Linked DNA regions of Canis lupus familiaris. The protein of the gene in region 7 interacts with the protein of the main gene of each other region in a pairwise test. Links are inferred from orthologs where the notes say so. Each region holds a gene or a part of one and is shown on either strand. Other genes may lie near its edges. The genes, in order: NRF1, NIBAN1, CSN2, BANP, RAI2, GLYR1 and FHL2.

Region 1 (4,337 bases), on a different chromosome or scaffold from region 7:
TCTGCCTCATCGACTCTCCTTGAGAATTAAATGAGACAGGGGATAATGTGTGTAAAGGACTTAAAATAGGGCCTGACACAATAAGCACAGGTGAGAATTACTGGGTATGATGATAGAAGAGCCAAAGCGCTCATGTAGGGAGATGGGAAAATGTTTCTTGGAGGAAATGGCATTAATGTTGAGGCCTTAGGAAGTAGCAGGAAGTATTTAGGTTTAAGCAGGTAACGAGAAGGACTAAAGAGTAAAGAAAGTTCTGTGCAGAGAGAGCAGCCCTTGCAAAAATTATGAGGTGGGAGAACTTCCTGCCTGGTATGACTTGAGAGCTTCCTGATTTGGCTGCAGCCTGAGGGAGAAGTCTGTGGCAGATGAGGTCAAAGATGGCAGCAGGGGTGAGGTCACCAAGGGCCCTGAAGCCAACTCAAAGAATTTTTAGAGGCTTTAACTTATGAGCAATGGGATCTTATTAAGCCCAGTAAGTGGGGGAAATGACATGATTTTCTTTTTTGAAAGACTGCTCAAGCTACAGGGCGGAGAATCTATTGGAGAGCGCAATTCCTGTGGCAGGGAGACCATGAAGTCTTCTGCAGTATCTTGATTAGAGATGATTTGGTAGCACTATCCATGCATCCTAAGGCAATGGTTCTTAAAATTATGGCGTTCATGAGAATTGCCAGGATGACGTGTGAGTAGGGGGCTGTTAAAAATTCAGTTTTCTGGGCTAACAAGCCATGATTGTGGAGACACCAATTCGGGTCCAGAATTTAAGTAATCAGCCCTAGTGATTCTGATGCATGTAGTTTCCTAAGCACGCTTTTAAAAACCAAGAACAAAAGCTACCTGTCCTATGCCTCTAACATTAGATTTTCTGCTACCTTCTCCTCCTTCGTTCTCAGGCACCTGCTTGGGGGTCCTATTGCTTCTGACTCCCTGCACACGTACAAACTCCTTGGGAGCAAGGACTTCATCTTTCTAACAGGTGCATCTCCAGCGTGCCCAGAACAAGACTGGCACAGAAAAGGGCCCTCTAGAAATGTCTGCCAAACGAACGAATGAGCAGATAAGTTAATATATTGCTCAGAAGTTTTAGAAGTCAATATACATTTTTTTGCTTTTAAATACCTGGTTAGGGTTTGGGAAACAAAGGTCATTCCAAAGAAAGGGTGAAGGCGCGACTGCCAAGGCTGAGGAAAACGCGGGGAAGCCCGTTCCCGACTGTCGAGGCTCATTCAGGAGGTGCTAGAATTCTCGGGGCTGCGGGGCGAGAAATGTTACTATTTCCAGATTAGCAACCATCTTGGGCTGCCCGCGCCACTCTCCCGAGAGTCCACACTTGACTAATCCAGTTGCCTCCGAGGTTCCGGTCCCATCCAGCCCCTTCAAACTAAATGTGGCCTCCAGGAGACCGCACGGGCCGGCAGGGACCCTCGCCCAGAAGCCCCTCCGGGCCCGCCCCGCCGAGGCAGCGCCGACCTCCCCATCATGGCGACCGCCGGGCGGGGAAGCTGAGCCCGTGCGTCGCGTGCGTGCCTCCTCTCCCTCCCCTCCCCCTCCTCGGCGGCGGCGGCGGCGGCAGAGGCGGCAGCGCTCGCCATTGCCGCTGGTGGCAGGAGGCTGCGAGGAGCCGGCGCGGTCGCAGTCTCCACGGCGCAGGCCCACGGTAGCGCAGCCGCTCTGAGGTGAGTGCCCTACCGCGCAATCTCCAGCTATTTCAGCCCCGGCGCAGCCGCAACACGCCGCCCGCCCGCCGGCCGGCCGGCCCGCCCCGCAGCCTGCACCCTGCCGCCCCCGGCTCCGGGCCTGGGCCTCTGCCGGATTCGGCCCGCCTCGGGCGGGGGGCCCCGGCCCGGCCCAGTCAAACCGCCACCCCGAGGATGCGCAGGCCGCAGTAGGCCCCAGGCGTCCTGGCGGGCTCGGGAGGGAGGCGCTGCCCTCCCGAGAGCCCCAGGGTTCCGGCCTCCCCCGCCGCCTGAGGCTCTGGGGGCCGCGGCCTACTCTCCACCGTAGAACCCGGGGCCCGGGCCCGGCCTTCCCGCGGGCTCGGGAGCGGGAGGCCCGGGAGAGCGCGCCGGGCCCGGGAGCGGGAGGTGGGCGGGCTGCGCGGGACCGGAGCCGCGGCTCCCCGCTCGCCCCCTCGGCCCTTCCCGGGTCTGGTCCGCGGGCGGCGCGGCTGGCTGGGCCGGGGCGCGGGAGCCGCTGTCTTCTGCGGGAGAGGAGGCAGCTCTTCGGGCGGCCTCCGAAGCTTCCCTCCCGCCGGGGTGGCGTGGGCTTGTTACCCAGGTAGACCGGGGGACGCTGGAATATGGCGCGTTGCCCACCTTCTTGCAAGTTAGGAGGCGGCCCGGGCAGCAGCGGCGGCAGTTCGAGGGAGGGCGCAAAGTCCTTTTGTACGCAGAAATAAGGAGCGACATTGTGTTTTCTTCCCCAGCTGGGATACCGCCGGTGGAGGGGCCTCGGTTCTTCCTGTGCCTGGGGTGGTGGTCCCCTGGGTGAAGAGAGGGGGAGTGGCGCGACCCTCGGAAGGAAACGAACTGTTGCTACTGTAAAGGCTCTGACTGGCCTTGTGCTTGGGTATTATCTCATAGCCCCAGCCTTTCGGGGGAACTCAAGGGTTTGCCCCTGCATGTTGTCCACCTCGCTGTGCAGTGATGTCCACCGCCTGTCTCACCTGTTGGGTCGTTGCTGCTGGTGCCAAAGTTTCTACAGGGCATCTGACTGTGCACATCAGAACTTGGAGTTGTTTGAAAATCTTAATATTTTTAGAGCTTCGAATGATAATATGCTCCAGCCTGTTGGAGGAGCTGTTGCCTGATCTCCATCCATTCTTAAGCGTTAGATTAGAATATATTAATTGCTTACTTAGAGCTGGTGTCAGTTATGCTTAATTCTTTTTGTGGTGAGAGTAAAATTCACATTTTCTTAAGTGTGTAGAGACAATGTTTTTGAAAAACTGTTAAGGTGAAGGCAGTGTGAGTGAACCTGTCAGCTTGGACAGAGCTCAGGAGAATGGGTTCGCGCATCTCACCTTTTTTCCCAGGGCATCCTCTGTGCCCACAGTGATCCTTTTCTTATTTCATGTCCAGCCTTTTAAACAAGAATGCTTTACTTTGGCATTGAACAGTAAGTTCTTGGGTTGTTCTTTACTCAAGGAAAGGTGGGAGGAGGGCCTTGGAGACCCCGAGTTTTTGTTTTGTTTTAAAAATTCAGTAGTAGTATCCAGATTTGTGTTTGAATGTTCTTGATGTATTATCTCATAAGGTAGTGAAAATATGACTAGAATCTGCACGAGTGTAATTTCCTTATTCTATGAGCAGGAGAGGAAACATACAATTAACACATGTAATGTATATATTCTGGGGTTCCTAAATTGTGTGCAGAACTGTTTGTGTCAAAGGACTTTTTTTTTCTTCTTCTGACAGGAGTTAGATGTGACTTTCGACTAGGTCCATGACAAAGACAAAAAATAAGACAAGAAGTACTACTTACTATTTTTTGGCACATCCTTACTTAAAGTCCTTTGATTTCATCCTATCTGCTGTTTCCCTCCCCCCATCTCAGACTCAATGTATGAGAGAAAATGACTTTTTGCTTAGTAGTTAGTGATCATATTCTCAGCACCCCCACCCCCCCAATCATCTTCAGGCCAAGAGTTTTCATAGAAGTAGATTTCTTAGGCGATTTTAAGGAAATTTAGCTCTTGGATTTAGGAAATAACTCTAAAAGCAGGAGATAATGAGAGCACTTATCCAGATCTAGAAGGGATTAAAGAAGAAAGGATTTCAGGTTCCTCTCCCAATTCATGTGTATTCCAATGGAACCCAAAATTGTCGGTTTCTTTTTATTAAATCACAAATATACTTCCATCTCTAATTTTGTTAGGGAGCTGAAGACAAACTCCTGGTGATTTAAATACCTGAATTTGCATTGTATACTGTGAGTTCAAGCAGCCCCCTGGGTTGTTTTCAAGAAGTATTTTATGTGAAATAATCACAAATGAGTGACTGTTTTAAGGGAAATTTAAGCTCCTTGGGGGTCTGGAATTAAATTTTTTATACTTCTTATAAATAATGCATTCAGTAAATGTTGGGGAATAATGATGAACAGTAATTTTTCAAATTAAAAATTTTTTCATAAGTATTTGAAAAGACATTGACTTGGTTTTTGGAAGGGCCTTTAGAAGCACACCCTCCCTCCAGTCCTATGGAGAACAGGAAGTTCTTGCATATGTTCAGCTTCTGTCAGATCTCTTTAGGCAATCCCAGTGCTTTGTGCTGCAGTGGTCTTGTTCATCCACTTCGTGCCACTGTGAAAAATGGGAGAATTGGAGTGTAAAGCGGGAA
Region 2 (4,108 bases), on a different chromosome or scaffold from region 7:
GGTGATAGCAGAGGAAGGGGTGAAAAATGGGTAGGTATTGGATATATTTTGAAAGCAGAATGGAGAGGACTTATTGACAGATTAAAGTGTAGGGTGAGAGAGATTGGGTGTGAGGTATGAGAAATCTTGGTGTTAGAATGCTAGTTAATTAACTTTTGAGGGCAAAGCCTTCCAAGTCCTCTTCAGGCCTTGTTCTTGTGTGTACAGACCATGTGACCTTGGAGGTTAAGTCAATAGGAATCACTAAAAATCTGATTACTAAGAATAGGAAGAAATGCATGGTGACCCTCCTGCCCCAGTTGAGTGTTATTTGGGAGAGGTTGCCAAGCTAAATAGTAGTTGTGGGAAAAAGAATAGATGCCTCTTTCTTTCTTTCTTTCTTTCTTTCTTTCTTTCTTTCTTTCTTTCTTTCTTTCTTTCTTTCTTCTTTCTTTCTTTCTTTCTTTTCTTTCTTCTTTCTTTCTTTTTCTTTCTTTTCTTTCTTTTTATTTCTTTCTTCTTCTTTTTTTTTTAAGATTTTACTTATTTATTCATGAGAGACACACAGAGAGAGAGGCAGAGACACAGGCAGAGGGAGAAGCAGGCTCCATGCAGGGAGCCCAATGTGGGAGTCGATCCCGGGACTCCAGGATCTCACCCTGAGCCAAAGGCAGGCGCTCAGGCGTCCCATAGATGCCCTTTCTAATGAACTATTTTCAGTTTGTCAAGGGGGAGGACTGTATCTAAAGGTGCAAGAACAGACTTTGATGGGGTCTTCAGAAGTTTCAGGACTGAGAACATATTGCAGGACCCAGGCTTAGGTTTTTCCTGTTTTTCTCCCCCCCCCCCCCGCCCCCTTCATTTCCCCAACCCCTCCTTGGCCCATCTTTCTAGCTACAGGAAGGTACAGTTTACTGTCGGTTCTCAAACTTCAGCAGGCATCGTGCCTGTGAAAACTCAGATTGCTGGGCCCCACTCCTGGAGTTTCTAATTGGGGTGCAGGGTGTGTGCGCGCAGGTGCGCACGTACGCGTGTGTAGACGGGTCACAGAGGGGGTGCGGGGGCTGCAATTTTTTTGCATTTCTAACAACTTCTTAGGCGGTTCTTGAGGACGGCTGTTGCTTATCCCCGAGGGCGTGCAAAGCAGCGGGGTCCTGAATTCCACCTCGTGGCTCGTCAGTGGGGAAGGTTCCAGCTCCCAGAGGTTGGCAGTCCCTAGGGGAATTGTCCACCTAGCCGAAGGTGTTTCTCGGCTGCCCGTGACCGGCGGGGAGGAGCCGCAAAGGCCGGCAAGGCGACGGCAGGAGCGGGTCTTTCCAGGCTGGACACCCCGCCCCCGCCCCCGAGCTCCCCAGGGGAGCGAGGGCGGGAAGACAGCCCCCGGGCCGGCCCACAGATCCTCAGAGGGCGCGGGCCTGGAGGAGGCGCCCCAGAAGGCGGCGCCTCGCGGAGGAAGTTTCTCCTCTAACTGCAGAGCGGGGTGCGCCGTGGCCGCGACCTCGGGAGCTGTCGGCGCCGCCGGGGGGCACCGCCCGCACCGCCGCCATGGGCGGCTCGGCCTCCAGCCTGCTGGACGAGGGCAAGTGCACCTACATCCGAGGTACGCGGGGGCTTCCCGCCCGGGCCCGCACCGCCGCGCCCACCCGGCCCCCGGGGGCGCGTCGCGCGGGCGCTTCCACCTGCGGCGGCCACCTGCGGGCGCGGGGACCGCGGGGCCCCCTTCCTCCGCCGCCGCCGGGGCCCGGGCCGGGGATGCTCGGGGAGGTGCGGCCGCGCGCCCGCGGGAGGCAGGTGCAGGCGGCGGGGAGGGGGCGCGGGACCCTCGGGGTCGCGGCAGGTGCGGGCCCGGGGTCGCCTCGCGCTCCCTCCGTTCCGAGCTCTCCCTGGACCTGCCTCGAGGGGAGCCGCGGGGATATCCCTGGTTGCTGGAGACTTCCCGGGGGATTCCCGGCCTCTAAAGCAGAATTTCCCTGCCGGTAAGGTTGGCCTGGTTTTGCAAAACGACGCGTCGGCCAGAGCTTCACTGGAACTTTCGGATGGCTTGTGGGATGATTTCATCAGAAGCAGAAAGGACCGTGTCATGAAGCTCCCAGGTTGTACGGTTCCTTTTCCCTTCCCGGAGATGGGGGCAAGGCAAAAGAGGAACATTGGCGTATTCCGTTAACAGTTGCTAAAGTTATAGATGGAGACAAACTCATTTGGGGAGACTTCCAGAGATACGGTGACTCACTACAGGCAGGAAGAAAAAAAAAAAAAAACCCAACAAACTGAATTGAAACTGCAGAAAATCATGACTCTATCTCCTGGGTGTACTTGGCCCTGGTCCCTTCCTCCCTGGCAACCTTGTCCGCAACCACTACCTAACATTGGGTTATCTTACGAATTTGGTAATTTTCTATTTTTAGAAATACCTTCTAAACTACGTATTGAGCTCTAAGTTTTACCCCAATTCTGTAAAGAAATGGTTAAGTTCATCCTGTTTAGGTTCTTCTCTTTCTGGTCCCTGAACCTTTCCTACAAGGAAAGCATTTATTTAGTGTCCTTATTCCATATTTGTTTTCAGTTTAAAACCATTTTCAAAGGATATCAAATCAGGGCACTTGAGAGCAACATAATTGACTTTCCAGATTCTTCCTCCTGCTCTGGTGCTTCTGGAGGTAGAGGATCATCAACAACCCATTGTCAGGGGATAAAACTTGGACAGGTATTCTTTTGCTGTCGTTTATTTAAAATGGGAGAAAGATGGATGACTTATTTATATTAGCAACACAGCTAAACTAAGGCCGCCTTGAGTCTTACAAATTTGGCTATGTGCTCGTTGTAAGGAACGGAAAAAACTGTAGTAGGACATAGTCAGAAGGGGTTTGCATTCAGTTATTTGCAAAGTATGGTTATGCCATTTATTTTAGAAGACTTTATTTCACCACGAAGCTTAAAAACACCTAACGTTGAATCGTGGCCATCTACGGTAATAATTGAAAGTCCAGCAATGTAAGGGATTCATGTTTTTGAAGACTTCATGGTCATGACAGTTGTTGCTGCTGCTGCAAGCACTGTATTCATGTGAAGAGAAAATATGTTAGCTTTTATTTTATTGGGAAATTAAATGATTGTACATACGAAAGTATGAGATGGCTAGTGCACAAGAAAGACTTGTAACGGATATGCTCTGAATGAATAAAACTATTGCAGATTGGATAACAGTCATTACATCCACAAGTCTTGTTCAATTTTTATCTTCTTATTCTTTGGGAGAGCACTTTCAAGGTATGTAGAGGCAGAGGGAAAAGAAGAGTTAAAGTTAGAATACCTCCAGAGAAACTGAGACGTTGCCTCATTTGAGAATACTAGTCTTGCCAAAAGAGAAAAGAGCATTGGAAAAATGCATGGCGTTCTGAATTGTTACTGCATGAGCACATGAAGGTCATGGGGCTGTGATTTCCTGATGGTTTTGAAGCCCCAGATCCCTGAAAAAAAAAAATCATCCTGTCTTCTCCACTTTGCCCATCATTTAGCCCATGCATCTTCTCAAGTTCTGATCTAATTGTAAACAGAACAATTGAAAATATGACAGTAAAGTTTAGATACAATTTTATGACCTGTTTCTCATAAAGTGGCTGCCAGTAAACTGTTAGAGATTTGAAAGCTCCTAGAGCTGATTCAAGAACTTTCCTTCAAGCTTGATAAACTTTGCTAACATATGGAGAATAACTAGTCAGTATATTTGGAGTGAGTTTTGTTGGCTTAATCTTGTATGTGTTAAAGCAGCTGTACTTCTGGCATGCTAATGAGTCTGAATCAGCTTTTACTTTTAGACAAATCATTTAACAGCTGCAGTTTAGTTTGTGTGCATCAAAACTTGTATTAATAGGGATGTTCGTCACATGGCTGTTTCAAAAATACATTATTTTTTAGGATTTAGTAAATTTCTGGGTAAAAGGATATCAGAAGTATTAAGGAGTTACTTCATTTCTAAAGATGCTTTGAAAATTACTCCCACACTCATGTTTCTTACCACAGAATACATTTTTAGTATTGCTTCTAGAAAATTTCAGTGACTTCACTTGATCAAGATGTTTCAACTCATAAATAATAGTAAGACCTCCTTCTAATCAAATGAACAGTGTCA
Region 3 (4,142 bases), on a different chromosome or scaffold from region 7:
ATAATTGAAATTCAAAGGCATTATGATCTGACTCCATCAAACCCTTGCAATAGTAGTTTTATACTCTCTGCCTTCTACATATCCTGAAGTACAAATCCCACCAAATGTGGTATTTTTCTCTTCAATTCCTCTTTCCTTCAGCCAAAATACTTTATTCACATTTTATCATTTCTTAAAATACTACTTATTCTTTTCAGGTCTAACTAAAAGCACAGCTCTTTAATAACCAATTCCCCTGCCCACACTCATCACCAATGCCCCACTCCTCCAATTCAAGCATAATTAAATCCTACACATTTAAGCACAAATGCTACATTAAGAACAAGTTTTATAACAGAGTTTATAAAAGGAGTTAAAACATGGACACTGCATATGAACAAACAGAAATACATGTAGTCAGACAGATCTAGTTTTAAGTGGTATCTTTGCAATTAACGAAAATATGATTTGAGCAAGTTACTCAATCTCTTGTCTCAATTTCTTCAACCAAAATATGGAAAGGACAACTACCTCATGATATTTTTGTAAAGATTATACAAGATAATGTCTGTAAAACACATAGTGCCTGGAATAGGGGTATAGTAAGCATAAAAAATAAAGGTTATTATGCCTGAAATAGAAAAAGGTAATATTTATCAGGTAAATAAGTCTGCATGACATTTTACAAAATTTTTGTTACAGATTTACCAAGAATTTTCACTGTACCAGCTATCCAGATAGATTCCTTTTCTAAGATGTTTCATTACAGAGGAAAATTTATTCCTCTTGTGTACACAATGTTGAAGTGAGAAATTTATTCTTCCCAAATCAAGTAGTTCTGGGAGCTTAGCAGTTAGCCTTACATGACTAAACTATCATCATGGACTTGTTATCTTGTTATTTTCTCCACTGTAGCATGAAACACCAACAACTGCTTAGGTTGGCGTGAAGTTGTGGCCTCTGTGAAGTCCCTCGTATGTCTGATATTCATATAGAAATCCCCTCACAGTTAATATCTTGAGGAGCCACGAGGGCTGAAGAGACTTAACTGCATCCACAATAAGTTGTGGATTGGGCCAGAGCCTCAATGTCTTCCAGTTATTAGACAATTACATTTCCTGGACAGATTTCCTTTATTGGCTTGTGATTTGCTTTCTTGTTAAAATGCTCCTCAGAATTTCTGGGGACAGATAATAGGCAGAAATCATATTCTAATCATGTGGACCTCTTGGAATTGAAGCTGACCGTTGATTTTATCTCAAACCGCAAAATTAGCATACCACCAAATACAGTATATAAACCACCACAAAAGCAGACAGACCATCATCCACTTAGCTTCCCCTTCACTTTCTGTACTCCACCTTGGAAAAAAGGTAAGAATTTCATATATAAATTTTATGTATTCTCTCTTCACTTTTATTTCAACTAGGCTAAATTATATGAAGAAAATAATTGCTTAAAATAGGATCTTTGAAATAAGAGTATTTAAAATAGCACTGACACTATTTTCAATACCTAGGTTAAAAAAATAGAAAGATCTAAGAACATTTGATAAAAATTATGAGTGCAAATGTTTTATGAGTCTAAAAAATGTAGTAATAATGATAACCATTTTTAATACAAAGCCAATGAATAAGCTATATTAAAAAATCTACTTCTTGAATTAATAAATCTTCCAAGTTGGTTAAACATACTAAAGCAATAAAAGAAAATATACTTAAATTGTTGGTTTGGGATATGAATAATTAATGGGAAACTTTTACCCAAAAGTAGTTTTAGAGGTAGCATATTGAGTCAAGAAACTGCAGAATTTGTTTGGGGATATGCACTACTTGAAATGTTTATAAATATTTTTTCAGAAATATGTATTCAAATTTATTTAGTGTATCCAACCTCCCCCTTTATCATTTGGTTTATAATAGCTCAAAATATTGTTAAAATAGACATAAAATACAGAATTAAGTTAAAGGGAAAATGTTTTTACTTTGGAAAAAAATTCCAAAAAAAGAAAAAAAGATGATACAGAGATGACTTGAAACTAAAGCAAAAGAAAGAGAAGATTTGAAAGAAAGAATACTATAGAATACATTGGTAAAAAATGAGGTTCTGGCTAAAAAAATTAATATATAAAATGCTAATTAGAAAATATAGAAAATGAAATAAGATTCTTCCTACACATTATGATCTCTAATAGAATGCTATATTCTTTTTTGGGGGTCCTGACAATGAGAAATTATTTGGAAACTTCTGAAGCTCTTAGGCAAAGTAAAATTAAAGTTTATATAGTACCCATGAGAAAGATCTAGAAAAGAAAATCTTTTTCTGAAGTAAGAATAATTTTCAGACTTCAAATATTGGAAGGGATATTTTGCAGATGAATTAGGGACTTTTTTCATGAGACATTTTTAGTTTAGAAATTTGTTTAAATATCTGAGATTGAAGATTGTATGCCAAATGATATTAGTGGTACAAACATTATTTTGTACAAGCAATTACAGAAATGCAACAAAATCAAGCATTTAGTACATTTTGGTTAGAAACTTTAACATATATATCATGTTATACTACAAGAAGAGGTTGTTTGAAGTGGGGATTGGGCAAGGGGACCAGACACTTTGGTAAATCATCAAGAAATCAGAAAAAAAAATACAGTGTACAATCTCTAAAGTTATGTGCACAAAAGAGAGGAGGCATTATTATATGGAAATGACTAAACAAATATTCATGGAAACCATTGGTTTAGTAAAAAGAAAAAAAAAGATAAAAGAAAATATAATCTGCATATACATTTTCTTTGATCAGTTACCTCCTGATAGAACTGAGGCTTTATCAAGGCTGAGACATTTGTTTGCTGCTATCAACCCAGTACCTAGATAGTGTCTGGCAATAAAAGATGTTAAATAAATATTTTTGAACAAATGAATCAATTAGTAAATATTTCTGTAAATATTTATAACTTTTTTTCTGTCCTTCCAAAAACCCAACTATAGTGCTGTGAATGAGATGAAAAAGAGTGAGGTAGGGTAATGGTAATGGATGAAAAAATATGAATGGTATGAAAATGACATGTAAGAGTAAAGAGCCACAGTAGATTTTGACCTTGCCCGTATGATAAAGCATCTATTAGTATTTTTTTCTAAAATACAGGGTTTTTTTTATTACATATTATCTTTAGTTTCTTTAAAAGGAAAGTAATCCTAGCTAAATTAAGAAAATAGCTTGACCAAGGTATTACCATTCTTCCATTTCCTCATTGACAGGACTTGATAACCATGAAGGTTTTCATCCTTGCCTGCCTTGTGGCTCTTGCTCTTGCAAGAGAGGTAAGCAAATGTCTAATTAGGATAGAATGGAGTATCTACCTATGTGGAGAGAAGAATATCCTCAACATTTTTAAAGTACAAATAAAGCAGAATTTCAACAGATTTATTTTGACTTCCTGGAAAATGATTTGCATGACACATTATTTTGACAGTGTGCAATAGGAGCACAGATTTGGGTCAAATGGTATACAGTGGTATATACTGTGCTATCAGTCCCAAAAAGAAAAGCAAATGGACAGATAAGCAAACAGACAAAACAAAAATAAATGGATATAAACATGACAATAATAATATTGCACAAATATGATTGCAGGCATGTGCACCCTAGATAAATATATCTTATTCCAGTAATAAAATATATGTATCTTTACCTTATGGCCCTGGGCCCAATTCTACCTGTGTTTGTCCAAAGACATTTAGAGAGAGGATGGAGTATCACACGATAATCATAATCATAAATATATTTGTAATAATAATAAACTGTTTAAAACAAATTATAATAATTTTTTTCTATTAGCCATTAAAAACGTTTATTCACATAAGAAGAAAATATATCAATAAAGTTACTAAATATAAAAGACATAAAAATAACTACCTTTCAAGTCTTTCAATATAGCATTTTTTATTTCTCAAGTTTGTGAAACACATAGCTCTGCATAAAGAAGATAAAAATCATATAGGGAAAATGTTTAAGAATGAGTTAACCATGGAAACTAGAATGGTATTTTTTTCTGTTACAGAAGGAAGAACTCACTCTATCCAATGAGGTAGGATATTTTTATTCACAAAAAATTTCCAACCATAAAATATTAACATTCTTCAATGATCTAGGAAAAGCTG
Region 4 (4,084 bases), on a different chromosome or scaffold from region 7:
AGACCAGAGTGTTTTGGTTTCTAAACCCTGGTTTTGTCTTCTTCCAGCAGTGTGACCTTGCTGAGCAATTTCCCTTCCTCCCAGGACAATTCTCATTTCAATGCGAGCATCTTTTCCAGCACCGATCTTCTGTGATTGTTCTCTGTAATTTCTTCAAGGCACCTTTCCTGTAAAGCTAAGCCAAAGATCAGCCTCGGTAGATCCCCCAAGTGTGCATTCTGGAAGAGACTATTACTAGCAAGGTTGCCCAAGGGCAAGCAGCTCGTTACTGCCTCCAAGAATCAGGTTTTTATCATCGGCAAAAAGGGAAGTAGGCAGGAAAGTTACAGAAACAGTAGAGCATTTTCTTTTCCAAATGAAAATAGCTCCACAGTCTTGTTTTTGGACGACCGAAGAAATTCTTGCCCGTTGTAAACAACTCAGAAAACAAAGGCAAGTGTAAAGAAGAAAACAAAAAGCAGGGTAACCCCAACGCACAAGAAGAGCAACAGTGATACCAGTGAGCAGGAGTAACATTGCCGGATGGTGTGTACAGCCAGTGGTTTTTCCCCACGAGCACCAACAGACCAGCACTTATGCTACACACGTGTAACACAGCCACATGCACACCGCATGTTCGTGTACATACGCACACACAGAGATTACTTCCACACGGGACAGGTCACACCACGAACACACATTTTCCCCCACGCGTGAGCCCTGGGAAGTGTGGTCAGACTCCGGGGACCCGGAGCACCAGCTATTACTCGGGGGCACCCCTTCGGAGTCGCAGCGGCCTCAGGCCCCCCGTCTCCAACTACAAGTCCCAGCAGTGGCGGGCGCGGGCGCCGACGGGAGGCCGGAGTCCGGAGAGACTACAAGTACCAGCAGGCTTGGCGCACACGCCGGGACTACGATTCCCAGGAACCTCAGCTCGCGGCTCGCGCAGAGCCCTCCGGGATATGTAGTCGTCGCGCGCACCTAATTCCTATTCATTCAGCCTCTGAAGAAACGTAAATTCCTCTCGCGGTCCACCGACGCGACTTCTCACGGGGCTAGCGAGGAGACGGAGCGCGCGCCGGGAAAGGAAAGATTCCAGGCCCCAACCGTGGCGCGGCCGGACGACGCGTGCGCATGCTCGGCGGTCGCCGGCGCCGGCGAAGGCGCGCGCGGGAGGCCTGGAGCGGCAGGCCCCGCCCCCTGGCCCGGTCCCCGGGCCCGGCGCGCCCCGCGTGAGGAGCCTGCGCAGACGGGGCGGGGCGGAGGGCCGCGGGGAGGGACTCGCGGCGCCTGCGCAGAGCGGCGGCTTCTCTCGCGAGGACGGACGCCATTATCGCATCTCCCCGACAAACACCACGAGAATTCCGCAGCCCACACGGTAATTGCAGCTCCCGCAGCCGGTCGCGTCTCCACCTCCCCCTTCCCGCGGGGCGAGAGCGAGAGCGAGAGCGAGATCTCCCCTCCTCCCTCCTCCCTGCGCCCTCCTCCGGCCGCCGCGCCCGCGCCCGCCGCCCCCGCCCGGGACGCCCTGCGCGGCCGCCCAACGGCCCGCCGCCTTCGGCCCCGCCGGCGCGCCCCGCTCCCGGCGCCCTCCCCGCCCGCTCTGGCTCCCCCGGCCGCCGCCGCCGCCGCCGCCCCCGCCAGCCGCCCCCGCCCCCCGCGAGGGCCCCGCGCCGCGCCCCGGACGGACCCGGGCACAGGCCTCCCCTGTCAGTCGGCGCCCGGGGCCCGCGGGCAGGCCGCCCTGCGCCCGGTGTGCCCGCCCCGCGGGGCCGAGGGCTCACGGGGAGGGGAGGGGAGGGGAGGGGAGCGCTCAGGCTTGGGGAGTGCGGCCTGGGGTTTGCCTCGAGACCCCCGCCCCGCCCCGCCCCCGGTGGGCGCCCTGCACCGGGCGCTCCTCGAGGACGCGGGGGCTCGGGGGCTGCCGGGGGGCTCGGGGGGCTCGGGGCTGGCCGCCCCTGGCGCCCTCTGCACCGGCTGCACCCCCCGGCCTCGCCAAGGTCGGGGTAGTCCAGGGGTCGCCCCAGGTGAGGGACCCGGGGGACCGCCCGCCCATTACTCCGCTTCCGGACCGCCCTGCATACGAGGATCTAGAGGATCTGGAGGATCTAGCGGCGGGGAGACCGCGGAACAGCCCCCGAGATGAGTCGTCTCTGTTTAGCTTCGTTCTCCCTTGTGTTGCACTAAAGTGAGAACATGTGCTCAGGATGTTGGATTCCGTGGACATCCCGTGGCCTTAGGGTCTGGAAGTGGCTGCCGTGCCCGCGCTCTGTGCTGTGGCTGGGCCTGCGGACCACTCCCAGGGCTTCTCATCGCAGCCATCTAGAGAGGTGACCGGCCACCGGGGTTAGGACACTCGTCCAAGACGCGGGGAGCCAAGGCCTTGAACTCCTCTCTCCGAGGTCCGTGCTCTTAAATAATAATACATCTAGCAGTCATGCACACGGTAAACCCTCAGGGGAAAACTTAGGTTGAAGAGCAACAGCCCCGTCTTACTCCTCAAAGACTTAACATCTTTTTGCTCTTGGGGAAGGTCTCCGTAGCTCTGGAGAGTACCTTGGTATTTTATTAGTCTTACACATTGTTGACATTCTGTTATCATACGATGATTGAGCCCTTCCTATCATATCCCACCTTTTCTATCCCCTTAATTCACTGTGTTCACTTGACTCAGATTGTTTAAGACCGAGCAAATACTGTTTTTCACTTCTACAGCTTTCTGTTTTTTTCTGTTGTTTGTAGTGGCCTTTCTTTTTCTTTGCATTCTCTGTTCCCATTGACTCTTTACGTTGTAAATTATCAAGGGATAAGGTCATCTCTCCAACTCCCCACTCCTCCCTCCCCCCCATCCTCCTCAGCCCTCTGTCCTCTTTTTCTAATCTGGATTGATTACTCAGGCCAGTACAAGTATTCTTCTGATATTTTCCTTTATTATACATCCCAGTTTGTACAGGATTCCATGTTTTAATCTTGGCTTTCTTCATTTCAATATCATTTCTGCCAAATAGTCTTATTCGTTTTGAGTAACTCCTTACAATCCGCTTTGGTGTTAGGACATTTCCAGAGTGCCCTAGGATGTGGAGTCTCACTGTGGATGTTCAGTGCTTCTGGGCGCTTGCCCTTCAGCTCTGGGAAATCCTCTTGTATCTGACAATTTCCCCTGCATTTACTCTTTTATTTTGATGATGGACATCTTGGATTGACCCACTGAATCTTGTGTCTTTATCCTCTTTTGTCATTTTCTTCTCTTTTTTGGGAGAGGGCTTCAAGTTATCTTCCAATCCTGTTTAAAATTTTTTATTTCCACAGTTGAAAATTGATCAAAAACTTATGTGTTCTCCCCGCCCCCCCCCCCCCCCCAGTAGCTACTTGTGAACATATTCTTGATTTTGAGGATACCAACATGGGATTTTTTTCAATTCTTTTGTTCTTTGATTTCTTATTTCCTCTAGTGCCATTGTTGCCTTTTAAAAAATATTGGCTTCATACTTCATGTGGCAAATATTCCTTAAATATTGGTAATTGTTGTTTAAAGCAAGAGGAAATGGGCAGAGAGCTCTGAGTCTGTGGGGCTGGTTTTGAAAATGTGTGGGTCTCCCCTCAAGTCATTGGGAACTTGTTACTGTGTGGGACTTTGAGTGCCAGATTGCAGAGACTTTTTCTGTGGGTCTTACAGCTTAAGACCAGATCCCTTTGATTTGGGATTGGTCTACCTGGTCTAGGGAGGGTGTGAGCAGAAACGGCCTGTGCTCTGCTGAGTGTTCTGGCCTGCCACAGGCTTACCCACTTTGGCTGTACCCACTCCTGTATGCCCCAGATTGTGGTTTCCTTTGCCTCCATTAGATCCTATCAGTCTCCCAGAAATTTGCAAAGTATCTTGTCTGTGTCATATTTTCTTTCTTGTGGGATTGTTATATGCAATTAAAAATTAATTTAATGGGATGAGCAGAGATCACCTTTGTGGCAAGTTGCTCCTTGTGAGCAGGAATTACAGAGCCCGTTCTTGTCTTTCTGCTCTGCTGCCTCTCTTGGTAATGGATGCCATCCGTCAGTGGAACCGATGCCCTGAGCATTGTCCCCGTGGTCATCTCCGCGTTGCAGTGTG
Region 5 (3,567 bases), on a different chromosome or scaffold from region 7:
TTTCCTCATCAGTAAAATGGGCATCATTCTAGGACCCCTCTCATAGTGTTCTGAGGATTAAATGAAGTAATGCATGGGAAGTTCTCAGCATTCTTGGCAGAGACCTAGCACGGCACGTATCAAATGCCCAGTGAGTTTTGGCTCCAGCCATCTGTGAAAGGAGCAGGGGCCCTCTGTCCTGGCAAGGTCCCCTCCTCACATTCTGAACAGGAAGGTTCTGGGGGAGTAGGGGCCTAGAACTGGGCTAGGTGGGGAGAGGAGTGAGGTTTCATGGGAAGAGATGAGCGCCACCACCCGAACTGAAGATGTGTGCCAGGAGCAGGGGGAAGAAGCATCGAGAAGTCGGCTTTCTCTGTGTGGGAGGGGACAGGGGTGCGTGAAGGAGACAGAGATGGAGGGAGGCCGTCTCGTTGGGAAGGGCAGGTAGGTGCAGCTGTTACAAGAAAGCAGCCTTACAGCTGGGTAATCCTAAACTCACAGGAAGCCGGAAGATGGCACAGAGCATGTCTTGACCTCTCCCAGTGAGTTGCCTCAAAGGCCACCAGAAGCCACCTCAGATGGGTGGCCATGGGTGTCTTCTCTCACTGCTGCCGTCCTCGCCCTCACCGGCCCCATCCCAGCTTCCCTGTAACCTTTTCCCACCCCTCCCTGGGAGTTCGAGTCACTGTCTCCTGCCTCCTTGATGCCTTCTCTCTCGTGCCAGCAGATCTCTCGCTCAGAGACATGCGCCCCACTGGCCTCTGATGTGTGCTAAAGCAGGAACCTTGTGGGACTGGCTCCTGCCGGCATCCCCAGCCCCCAGCAAAGCGCTGGTGTGCAGTAGGCATTGAGCACATGGAGTGGTTGCACGAGTGAATGGATGCGTGCATGCGTGCATCCGGGAATGGGGGAGCCAGTGGTGCGTTGGAGGCATGATACTTTGTGGTCTAAGCAGGCCCCTTCGGTTGGGGGCAAGCCCCCTCAGCTTCCCCGGAGTGGGCTGCCTCCCTACCGTGCCCTAAAGGTATCATCGGCCAGCCCGCTGGGTCACCTCCTGGTTTCCAGAGGACCCCCTGCGTCTAGGGAGTCAGGCTCCGGAGCCCTCCCTCAGAGGCACCAGGGCTCGCTCTGCCGAGGGGCGTCCCCCACAAAGTTGTTTACAAGGCATCCTTCCCGGGGCCCTCGCCTCCTCCTGCTTCAGAGAAATTCCTTGTTCTGTGCACTTGACACATTTTGATGGTCTGGAAATACCACACAGTTGTTCATTTGTTAACACGGCCTTCCCGTAGTGAGGCCTACTGCGTTTCTTTGCACCCTCGCGGGCTGCTGGGCTGCCTCTCCTCCTCGTGGTGGAGGTTGTGTCGGTATTTGGGGGTGACCAGAGGAGGACGCGAGGTGACCCCGGGACTAGAGTCCAGACGGCTCCAACAGGTGAGGTCAAGATTCTGAGTTGCCCAAGGCCTGCCTGGCGAGCCTGAGGATTATTGAATTATTATTGAGCCCAGCCAGACTCCAGGGCTGCACAGATCCCCGAGTTAGACATGGTGCCTGCCTTCTCCATGGCAACCAGGCTAAATATGGACGCGTTTCCATGGAGAGCCATCTCGCAGTTGCAGCCCTGCTTCCTCCAGGCAGCACCCGCACTGCGTTCCTTCGGCCTCTCAGGAGGCGGCCAGAGGTGCCCGCGATGTTTGTTTCCAGCAAGTCTTCCATCTCCCCGGCCCTAGAACAGCAGCACCCCCCGCTTGACCAGCTAGAAGTTAGGAGAGGTCCCGGGTCACAGACATGAGCTGACTGCGGAAAGCGCCCCTGGGCCCGATGAGCACTCATGCCCTTGTCCCACGTCCACGTCCACCGGCTCCGCGGAGTGGCTTCTCCGTTATGGGAGGGACAGGGGATGGCACCCGGTCGGAGGGAGTCCGTGACACAGCTGCCACGATCCCTGTGGAAATGCACCGCCGTCCCTTTCCTCAAGCCTCCTCGGGAGGAAGCATTGCTACAAAGAGTCTTTAAGATGCTTGCCGTAAGCCGGGTGGCCCTCTTCGGTTCTCTTAGAACGTTCTAACGTGACAGGATTTTATTTTGTTCTCGAAGTGAAGTAAGTCTTCGCTGCCCATTTGCGTGTGGACGAGTCAAATCTGCACACATCTTGACCGTCCGGTAGAGCACCGTGGGACGGAACTTTGTGTTTGGCGAAAGCTAAACATATAAGCCGAGTATTAGGCTTAAAAATACTCTGTTTAACCTCTCTTGGCTGTTTAGTCATTACATCATCTGTGTTTATAGCTTAATCGTCTGTTAAATTGGGCCTCTCCGCGCACAGCTGATCATTTGGGTGTGTTTGTATATATTAGGAAATATCTATAACATGTATGTATACAGAGAGAGATGGGTGTGCTCCCGGTTCACTAAGATACGGAAACTTTTAAGAGACGCGGAGAGAGCGAGCACTTCGGAGGGGAGGGTCATAAATAGTCTCTTCTGGAAGATTCACATCGTGCGTTCCGTGTTGCAGGCCCGGTGGCATCAGAGCCGAGTGATGGATGACCTGCGGTCCCAGAACCTCTCCATGGACATGACCGACTCCTCTCCCGCCTTGGCCAATAACAGACTGGAGAATGGCATGGCCCAGCTGATCACCACCGAAGCCTGGAACATCAACTCCACTGACCTGGTAAAGAAGGCCCTGGTGACCGTGCCGGCCCCGTCCATCCTGAACCCCCCGGCCGAGTCTCAGAGCGGCGTGGCTCTGAAGGTGGCGGCCACCGTGCTGCAACCCCTGTGCCTCGGGGAGAGCCCGGTGGTGATGCCCATTCACATGCAGGTGGAGGGAAGCTCGGCGCCCGAGCTCAACCCTAATGGCAATGCCACCTATGTCATGACCACGCAGGGCCCCGTGCAGCTGCCCGTGGTGCTGGAGCAGCACGTCTTCCAGCACCTCAACTCCCCTCTGGTCCTGCCACAGGAGGCCCCGTGCTCCTCCAGTGCCATCCACAACAACCTGTTCCAGGGAGCCGAGGACCCCGAGGCCCCACCCCAGCTCCTGGACCTGCGGATCCCCAGCCAGCCGCAGGAGCCCACGTTGCCATTTGAAGCCGTGCTCCAGAATTTGTTCCCCTCACAGGGTGCTCTCGGCCCCCCACCCTGTCAGCCTCCTCCTGGATACGCCCCGGTGCCCCCCCAGCCCTTTAACTCCCCGCTGTCCCCCCTGGTGCCCCCGGCCACCCTCTTGGTGCCCTACCCTGTGATCGTGCCCTTGCCCGTGCCGGTCCCCATCCCCATCCCCATCCCGGTGCCTCAGAGTCCTGAATCCAAGCTCGGCTCCAGTTTCCCCAAGCCGCCGTCTTCCTTCGGCCTGCACCCCTTTAAAGGCGGCCAGCCCCCCCTGGAGAAGGAGGAACTGAAGCCCTTCGATCTCCTCCAGCCGAGGGAGTACTTCCAGCTGAGCCGCCACACGGTCATCAAGATGGGCAGTGAGAACGAGGCCCTGGATCTGTCCATGAAGTCGGTGCCCTGGCTGAAGGCGGGCCAAGCCAGTCCCCCCGTCTGCCAGGAAGATGCGGCCCTAGACCTGTCGCTGGCGGCCCA
Region 6 (4,205 bases), on a different chromosome or scaffold from region 7:
AAGGTGCTTCCAATTCCTGGCTTGTCCGGAGGACAATACAAAACAGTATAAATGACAGCTCCTGAAACTAACGGGCCGGTACGGTTAGGGAAACTGAATTCCAGGAAAAAGCAGGCTGCGGACAAGCCAAATGGCACCACCACCACCACACCACCAAAACAAAACAAAACGTGCTCACAACCAAAGTCTACAACAAAAACACCTACAGGGAGACGCGTTAAGGATCCGCCACCTTCTCAAGCAGAGACCGACTCTTGAGAAACTCTAAGGTCGACAACACCGAGGCTACTGGGGGCCTGCGACTGGGACTGGAGCTTTCCAAAAAATTGCTGTTTTGTACCCGGGGAGCGGGGGGAAGGGGGGGTTTGAGCTCCGCGCTGGGCTGCTGTAAACAGTTCCCCATTCAACGCCCTGGGCTTCACGGACTCCCAACTACGCGAGCATCTGCCTTCCTGTTGTCACAACAGCCAGCTCCCAACTTCTCTAAAAGTGTCAAACTACAACGAGGCGGACGGGAGAGCCCGGTCCCGACAAAGACACGCACCTTTGTCCCCGGCGCGACGCAGGCTACGGCCCCAGGGGCCGCACTCGTCCCCCCGCGGCCGTCCTCATGCCGGCCCGGGCGCCCGGGCTGCGGCGCCGCTAGCGGCCGGCCCCCGAGCCATGCCTCCCGGCGGGCGGCCGGCCCGCGCCGCGGCCCATGGCTGGGTCCCCGCGCGCCCGGGGCAGCCTCGCCGGCCGTGCCGCCGCCGCGCCGGCCCCGGAGGAAGCGCAGAGACGCCGGGTCCACGTCGGTCGAGCAGCTCGCGACCTCGGGCGGGCGGCCCCGGCGCCCCGGGAGAACTTGAGGCGGCGGGCGCGGGCTCCGAGCCGCTCCCCGGGCGCCGGCCGTTAGAAAGCGCGCACCGAAGGACCCGTCAGACCCCCGGGCGAGGCCGCGCAGAGCCCGCCGCGCGCGGGCCGAGGCTGGCTTCCAGGCCGCGCCGAGGTCCGTCAGGGCAGCCCCGGTGTGGGGACGCGGCCGGCCCCGGCGCGGGGCTAACGGCCGCAACGGAAGCGCGGACGGGAGGGGGCAGGAGGCCAGAGCCCAGAGGCGGGGCGGGCCGCAGGGCCGGCTCCCTCGCGCGCTCGGCCGGCCGCGCCGTCACCGCCGCCTCCGCCGCCTCGGACCGCGGGCGCTTCGTTGTCACGAGCCGGAGGGAGGGGGAAGGAGCCGGGAGTCTCCGGGCTCCGGCGCGCAGAGACCGCGGCGCCTGCGTCACGTGCCGCTGGGCCGGCCAATGAATTGCGGCGGGCGCGGTGACGTCAAGGCAGCGGCGTGGCCGGTGACAGCCGGCCCCTCGTCACGTGGCCGCGCGCACTCCAATGGGCGGCGCCGGGGCGACTTGGTGTTCCCGGCGGCCCGTGCGTCGGCGGTGGTTGGGTGGTAAGATGGCGGCTGTGAGTCTGCGGCTCGGCGATCTGGTGTGGTGAGTCCGGGCGGCCAGGGCTAAGCGAGGTGCGCCGGGAAGCTCCTCCACTGGGCGCGGGGTTCGCGGCCGGCCCCGGAGCTGCCTTTCTAAGCGCTCCAGGCTGCGGAGAGAGGGCGAGACGAGGTGCCGGCGCCGGGAGCGACGCCGGGCGGAAGGGGCAGCCCGGCCCCGGGGGACTGAGGCCGAGAGTGGCCGCGGCGGGCCGGGCTCTGAGCCCCGAGGCCGCCCGGGGGAGGGCTGCGCTCCGCACCTGCACGCCGGCGGCCGCCGCGAAGGGAGTCTCCGGCGCCGCATGCCTCCCCGCGGACGCCGGGTCGTTGGGGTCTTGCTGAGGCTCCCCCCCGGGAAGCGGGCGAGCCGGGGAGCCCGCGGGGCCACCTCGCCTGGGCAAGCCCGTCAAAACTCGCGTTGCGATGGAGCCGACCTGTGCGGGCGACTTGGCCCGGGGTGTCGAAACCGGACTGCTGGCGCTGCCCCGTGAAGAAATGGAAGGGGGACTTCTCCTTTACAGCCGAAGGCTTGGCAGTGACCGCTGCCTTCTTGGGTGCCTCTCGTGGTCTGCTTCCGTGTCCCAGACAACCGCCCGAACCAAGACTGACCGTCGCCGCTTCCCTGGAGCGACGTAGCTCACTTCTCGACCCAGAGGAAGGTTTCCATTAGCATTGTGTCAAAGCCGGGCTGGTCTCGCGGTGAATTAAACCAGACTTTGTAAGGGGAAGTCTGTGTTTACAGAGCAAACTACGCTCCCCCCCCCCCCCGCCCCAAGCCCCCAGTCCTGGGGAGGCTCTAGACCAGTGACTCCTGATTGGTTTCGTTTGTTCTGTATTCCTTGTCGCCGCAAGAATGCACATACCTTATTGCACTTACGCATTTCGTTTCTGAAGAGTTCGGGCTTCTTGGGTCCAGCTGCGGAAGCCAAATTAAGAACTGCTGTTTGCCAGCTTTTGTTTTGGCACTTGAGGGTGCAGGTGGAGAGTTAGGAAAATACATTTCATGTTGAGTGGGTTGAAGGAGATGGACTGGCTTTTCCAGGGCAAATGCTGACTGTGTGTTTTCTCTAGGGGGAAACTCGGCCGGTATCCTCCTTGGCCAGGAAAGGTGAGTGTCTTGATACTAACGGAAGACGTCTGAAGTTGGGTTTGAGAAGGTGAAGAACGTTAAGATTCATTCCTCTCTGTTTCCGGCATTTAGTTAAACTGGACTTAAGTAACACAATTTTTTTCTCTCTACTCTTCAGTTTGTTTAGAAAAGACAGTGCAGTATAAACCAGGTCATTTAATCTGCAGTAAATGCTTATCTCTTGAACCAGAGATGGTTTTGGTGAAGTTTCTTAATCCTGGAAATCAATTCTAATTTGAATTTTAGCCTTGTACTTAAATGTAACAAAAGGAGAAGAAAATAAATTCTCCAGGAAGAGCGGAATCTAAATGTAGGTTAGTGAAAAGTCAAAGTATTTTTGTCCCAACTAAGTTTAAATCTTCTTTCCATGTTACCATATGTGCTGCTCCAGTGCATCTTTGCAGAAGTTGGCATTCCAGATTTTGCATGAGGCGATCCGTCATAGCTTTCCAAATGTTCTGTTTTTAAATTCTTGCTAGGAGCCCAGGATATGTCTTTAGACTGTCTCTTTGCAATATGGCATTTTCATTGCCTCTGTTGTTCTTCATTATTATTATTACCTGTCTCAACTTTTCCTGCACAGTTGTTTTGTTTGTTTATTAAAGCATAATTAACATACAGTGTTGTAGTTTCAGGTGTACAGCATATTCATTCAGTAGTTCTGTACATTACCCAGTGCTTACCAGTAAGCATAGTCACCACCTTATTACTTCACTGAAATATTTTTAAGAGTGTTCTGTGCATTTTTTCAGTGATCACAGGGTCACATGGTTGAAGGGGATTGATATTGATCTTAGTTTTAACTGCTATTAAAACAGGGCCATTGCAGTAGAAGGGGTATTCTACTTACTGAACACTGCTACATGGTACATGTAGGGAACTAGAATATTTGCACATTTCCACACATCTCAGTAGAAACGTGCCAGATTTGGACAGGTACTAGATCCTGGGTTCATTTTAAACATATTCCTTTTGTTTTATTTCATTTTTTTCCTACCAACTTAGAGGTGTGAAAAACCTTTTTCCGCCTTTTACTCCCCAGATTGTTAATCCACCCAAAGACTTGAAGAAACCTCGTGGCAAGAAATGCTTCTTTGTGAAGTTTTTTGGAACAGAAGATCAGTGAGTAGTGCTGTTTGGGAGTTTCACTTTCCCTTTGTTTGGGCGTTGCCCTGGATCTGAGCTGCTTATGAGAATATTCTAGGGACCCTAGTTCATTTTTACTGTAGTCTGTGAGAATGGCATATTGTTCTGGCTTTATACCTAAATATATTCTTAGCTCATAGGAATTGTTCTGTGGCCAATAACAATGTCAGTCAGGTGAGAAATAGGATTCTTTTAAATATGATAATCACAGTAATGTCATTTCTCACATCTCTTTATCCAATCCCATAGTAGTTCCTTTTATTAAAAATTTTTTTTTTAATTTAGTAGTTCCTTTTATAAAGACCACGTTCAGCTCTCTTTTAATGGCTGTTTATCATTGTGGTTCATGTGTGAGATACACAGTGAAATCAGGACCATTCCCTTGAGATTCTCTGATAGGCCATATAAGTCACAGTAAGGAGGAGAATACATATTTACCTGAGTTTCCAGTGATTTGTTCAGCTCTCT
Region 7 (4,057 bases):
ATGGTTGTGTATTTTTACTATTCAGTGGGTTGCATTAGTAGTGTAGAAATTAGCATATTGCTCATTAGCTCCTGCAGGGAGCCTGCTTCTCCCTCTGCCTGTGTCTCTGCCTCTCTGTCTCTCATGAATAAATAAATAAAATCTTAAAAAACCCAACTAGTTATATCCTGATAAAATTGCTTATCTAAAGCTTAATTTATGTTTTTTTTTTAAGTTTCCATCATTCTAATTCCCCATCATTATAAGTATTTGAATATTCTGGCTAAATGAAAGAAATCACAATGTCATATAAAGATAACTAATTTCAAAGAAATAAAGTTTGAATGCTTGGTGAAAGGACATTGATCATAAATTTAACAAAAAGCAGATTACCAAATGACCTGATGATATATTTTTTTCTTAATTAGAAGTTATAGTTCTCCATATAATTTATTGTTTTCAGATGCATCCTAAAATACATCAATGTGGAGTGGTATATAGTGAGAATTTCCCCCCCCCACCTTTTTTTTTTTTTATTTTATTTATTCATGAGAGACACAGAGAGAGAGGCAGGGATACAGGCAGAGGTAGAAGCAGGCTCCATGCAAGGAGCCCAATGTGGGACTTGGGATTCTGGGATCACACCATGAGCCAAAGGCAGACGCTCAACCACTGAGCCACCCAGGCGTTCTTTCCTTCCCTCTCTTGTAAAGCTAGTGTTAAATTAGTGGCTCATCTCAAAATCAAAGACTTCTTAGAATCAAGAAATAGGATAAACAATAAATGTAGTAAGACCACACATAATTTTTCATTTTCTTCTCTCTGCTGGTCTGTATTTTCTGGCATATATTTGTACAGTAAGATACAATGAAAGAAAATATAAACACTATGAATATAATTTCACCTCTTTCTTTGGTGGTGTTAAAAACAGGACAACAGGCCCCAAATGGAGTCACTTATATTAAGCTCCACGTCACCAAACACACCTAACCTAAGTACAATTTTGGCCTCTTCCAGTAATGGAATTTTAAAGCAGTCAGAACTCACCTGATGAGCATTAGTTAGGTCATCTGCCTGATAGAGCCCTGTCATCCTCTAAAGGAAAGTAATGTTGGAATAAACAGTCCACTTTTTTTGTCCCATGTACCTTCCTAGTTCCTGTTCCCTTCTGTCTGTAAAGGTCTTCAGTTTTGTACACACTGCACAGCCCTTTTCTGTCTGCTGGGTGGGATACTGCCCAATTGATGAATCATTGAGTAAAACCAATAAGATCTTTATAATTTATTTGGTTGAAAAAAATTTTTTTTGACGGTGGGGAGAGGACAATTTAAACTCAGTTTCTTGGCCATCTATTTTAAATCTGAAGTATTTTAGACACCAGTAGACTATGTAGGTCCCTGTGTTAAGAGCTATCAGATTACAGAGAGAAATATGACGTGGCCTAGCCTCAGGATCTGGAACCAATGGAGAACTCCAGAAGCACTAAGTGGGATGAAGAAATCTAATAGTGCAAAATGCATTCAAAAACAGGCAAGATTGAGTGAGCAGTCAGGGAATATTTTAGGGGAAACTATGCAACTCTTCATGAAGGTTATACATTGAAGCATTTTCTTAATATCAGAAAAGGCCTCGAAAATGTAATTGTGTGAGTTGAGTAGCTGGCTACTGCTTTAAAGACAAAAACTCTCCTAAGATTGGATGGATCTCAAAATGTAATAGGTTTGATTACAGCACATCATGTTATAAACCTAGCAATAAAACAAAATTCAAATAGCATTCCTCAAGAAACAAATAAATAAAATAAAACCAGAACAAACCTATATAGAGCAAGTCCATGATAAAATAACATCAGCCAATAACGCAAGTGTTAATACTATCTTTTGACCTCAGAATTATTTTTAAAAAATGGCCTGGTAATATCTCTTTTTATTGGATTAGACCTGATAAGGTGCCTTGCATGGAGTATGACTAGAGGATGTTAACATGTATGACACCTATTATCAGAATATGCCATCTTATCAGTGTTAACATTATTACACAATTGGCCCAAGCATTACTCAATACTGTGCATTTGCTCACATCCTGCTCTAGAAATTAGTAAATTAGTAAAATGTGAATGCATTTCCTTTAAGCACACAACAGCTATCTGTACTTTGGAACCGTCAGCCGTAACAAGTCATCTTGTATAAACATACTTTCCCAGCCTAATCAGACTCCTCAGTAATTTGCCTCCTCACCCCAGGCCATCCGGAAATTCTGTCAAGGAGAAAAAGCTCCAGGGCACTGTGGTTTCCCCCCTCCCAATGTTTATTTTATACTTTTTTTTTTTTTCTTTTTTCTTTTACAAAAAGCTTCCTGGTGTTCAAAACTCCGTGTAGTTCCTGTTTCCCCGTCTGAGAGGGTAAGATGAACGGAGGGTTCCCTCCGTGTTCTTTCTACTCCCGGAGGCACCTGCCGTGGGTTTGGAGCAGCGGCCAGGGCCAGGTTCTGTTCCTTCCCCACAGCCCCGCAGCCCCGGGCAGGAGCTGGCTGCAGGCGGGGGCCCGCTGCCAGGCCACTGGGGCTGGGTTTGGGGTCTGCAGGTGCACAGTGCCAGAGAGCTCCCTCCCGGGGCAGGAGGCCGCACAGCTGGCAGCGAAGCCTGGGAGGACACAGGGCACAGGGAAGGAAGGGGCCCCGGGGAGGAGGAAGCTTACCTGTCCTGTCGTCTGCCCTCGGCGAGCCCAGGGGCCAGTGGGGAGGCAGGGCCCACGCTCGTGGGCTGCTCCTGCAACTGTGTGTGCAGCTGCTGGCCAGCTGCCGCCTCGTGTCAGCAGGGCTATAAATAAGGTGCTGTCCAGAGCCCAGAGATAAGAACCCAGCCCCTCGCTCCCGCGAGCCTTTTAAGGTATCCAAATTAAAGGAGCCTCGGCCCCCAGATGGGAAGGGGTGCCAGCTCCCCATTTGGCCTGCCCACCTCAAGGACACCCTGGGCCTTGCACACAGTCCAGCAACCCAAGGAGGAGTGAGAGGGGAAAGCCGAGCGCTGGGAGGGATCTCGCTTGGTCAGACAAGTGGTGGAGTCCCTGGGGGGCTGCAGGGGCTCGGATGCTGGGAGACCCCCCCACCCCGAGATCAGGGCCGGCGCTGTGGTACAGAAGGGGGAGGAAAGTCATCCAGGCCACACAGTGCCCTGGGGTGTGCTGTGGGTTGTCAGCGCTGCCTCTTGCTAGGAGCACACGGACCCTCTTCCCTGGCTTCAGGGGTATTGGTTTGGGTGAAAAAGATTCTAGGGGAGATTCTAAGGGATCGGCTTCATGCTGGGCACGTGGGAGGCCGGGAATGCAGTCTCCTTATAAAGGCCCTCTCTCCCCATTCCCACCCCCCACTCATGCATGATTGGGGGGATTCTTGGGCCACAAATCATTTTCTTTATAGAGCTAATGCAGAAATCTTATGGAGCTTTTTTATTTTTATTTTTTAAGATTTTATTTATTTATTCATGAGAGACACAGAAAGAGAGGCAGAGACACAAGCAGAGGGAGAAGCAGGCTCCCTGCAGGGAGCCCAATGTGGGACTCAGTCTGGGATCCCAGGATCATGCCCTGAGCCAAAGGCACCCAACCACTGAGCCACCCAGGGCTTTTAAAAAAACCATATGCTAGAAGAGGTCAGAGAGGACTAATCTGGGGTAGCAATAATTCCTGATTCACCCCTAAATTTCTTAATTCTGGGAGGCTTTTCAGCCATGGCTGGGGTCAGGTGAAGGACAACTGAGGTCAGCTGTTTGGCAGCAGCTGTCTGCCATATGACAGACATTCCACATCTGGGAATTTATCCTAAGGAAAGGATCGTGGATGTCAGCAGAGATACAGCTCCAGGGACATTTCTTGCAGGTTTTTTAATAATTGGGGAAAGTTGGAAACAACCAAAATGACTAACAACCGAGACTGGTAAAATGAGGAATAGTATAGCCATGAAGGAAACACTGCAACCTTTGGAAATGTCATAGAAGAATATTTAATAACATAGAAACAATATGATGACATGTTGGTAGTGAAAATGCAGGTCACTTTAAGGGAAACTTGGTGTATGTGTG

The links.
Region 1: the proteins of FHL2 (region 7) and NRF1 interact in binary tests that used the Homo sapiens proteins (3 or more experiments, as listed by UniProt). The two-hybrid records come from large-scale screens. The link is inferred for Canis lupus familiaris from reciprocal best matches to the Homo sapiens genes FHL2 and NRF1.
Region 2: the proteins of FHL2 (region 7) and NIBAN1 interact in binary tests that used the Homo sapiens proteins (3 or more experiments, as listed by UniProt). The two-hybrid records come from large-scale screens. The link is inferred for Canis lupus familiaris from reciprocal best matches to the Homo sapiens genes FHL2 and NIBAN1.
Region 3: the proteins of FHL2 (region 7) and CSN2 interact in binary tests that used the Homo sapiens proteins (3 or more experiments, as listed by UniProt). The two-hybrid records come from large-scale screens. The link is inferred for Canis lupus familiaris from reciprocal best matches to the Homo sapiens genes FHL2 and CSN2.
Region 4: the proteins of FHL2 (region 7) and BANP interact in binary tests that used the Homo sapiens proteins (3 or more experiments, as listed by UniProt). The two-hybrid records come from large-scale screens. The link is inferred for Canis lupus familiaris from reciprocal best matches to the Homo sapiens genes FHL2 and BANP.
Region 5: the proteins of FHL2 (region 7) and RAI2 interact in binary tests that used the Homo sapiens proteins (3 or more experiments, as listed by UniProt). The two-hybrid records come from large-scale screens. The link is inferred for Canis lupus familiaris from reciprocal best matches to the Homo sapiens genes FHL2 and RAI2.
Region 6: the proteins of FHL2 (region 7) and GLYR1 interact in binary tests that used the Homo sapiens proteins (3 or more experiments, as listed by UniProt). The two-hybrid records come from large-scale screens. The link is inferred for Canis lupus familiaris from reciprocal best matches to the Homo sapiens genes FHL2 and GLYR1.

Annotation. Positions count from the first base shown.
Region 1 is NC_049235.1:7,073,167-7,077,503, reverse strand, and holds the start of NRF1 (nuclear respiratory factor 1), read left to right. Parts: upstream 1-1,528; 5' UTR 1,529-1,676; intron 1,677-4,337. UniProt on the Homo sapiens protein: Transcription factor that activates the expression of the EIF2S1 (EIF2-alpha) gene. Links the transcriptional modulation of key metabolic genes to cellular growth and development.
Region 2 is NC_049228.1:18,054,282-18,058,389, reverse strand, and holds the start of NIBAN1 (protein Niban 1), read left to right. Parts: upstream 1-1,258; 5' UTR 1,259-1,524; coding exon 1,525-1,579; intron 1,580-1,960; exon of another isoform or gene 1,961-2,059; coding exon of another isoform or gene 2,060-2,072; intron 2,073-4,108. UniProt on the Homo sapiens protein: Regulates phosphorylation of a number of proteins involved in translation regulation including EIF2A, EIF4EBP1 and RPS6KB1. May be involved in the endoplasmic reticulum stress response.
Region 3 is NC_049234.1:60,457,507-60,461,648, reverse strand, and holds the start of CSN2 (beta-casein precursor), read left to right. Parts: upstream 1-1,301; 5' UTR 1,302-1,352; intron 1,353-3,239; 5' UTR 3,240-3,251; coding exon 3,252-3,302; intron 3,303-4,042; coding exon 4,043-4,069; intron 4,070-4,142. UniProt on the Homo sapiens protein: Important role in determination of the surface properties of the casein micelles.
Region 4 is NC_049226.1:65,737,973-65,742,056, reverse strand, and holds the start of BANP (protein BANP), read left to right. Parts: upstream 1-1,233; 5' UTR 1,234-1,357; intron 1,358-1,958; exon of another isoform or gene 1,959-2,381; intron 2,382-4,084. UniProt on the Homo sapiens protein: Controls V(D)J recombination during T-cell development by repressing T-cell receptor (TCR) beta enhancer function. Binds to scaffold/matrix attachment region beta (S/MARbeta), an ATC-rich DNA sequence located upstream of the TCR beta enhancer.
Region 5 is NC_049260.1:13,958,948-13,962,514, reverse strand, and holds part of RAI2 (retinoic acid-induced protein 2), read left to right. Parts: intron 1-2,494; 5' UTR 2,495-2,518; coding exon 2,519-3,567.
Region 6 is NC_049227.1:36,873,234-36,877,438, forward strand, and holds the start of GLYR1 (putative oxidoreductase GLYR1), read left to right. Parts: upstream 1-1,346; 5' UTR 1,347-1,365; coding exon 1,366-1,469; intron 1,470-2,533; coding exon 2,534-2,570; intron 2,571-3,633; coding exon 3,634-3,713; intron 3,714-4,205. UniProt on the Homo sapiens protein: Cytokine-like nuclear factor with chromatin gene reader activity involved in chromatin modification and regulation of gene expression. Acts as a nucleosome-destabilizing factor that is recruited to genes during transcriptional activation.
Region 7 is NC_049231.1:39,049,536-39,053,592, reverse strand, and holds the start of FHL2 (four and a half LIM domains protein 2), read right to left. Parts: upstream 2,817-4,057; 5' UTR 2,676-2,816; intron 2,381-2,675; exon of another isoform or gene 1,286-2,380; intron 1-1,285. UniProt on the Homo sapiens protein: May function as a molecular transmitter linking various signaling pathways to transcriptional regulation. Negatively regulates the transcriptional repressor E4F1 and may function in cell growth.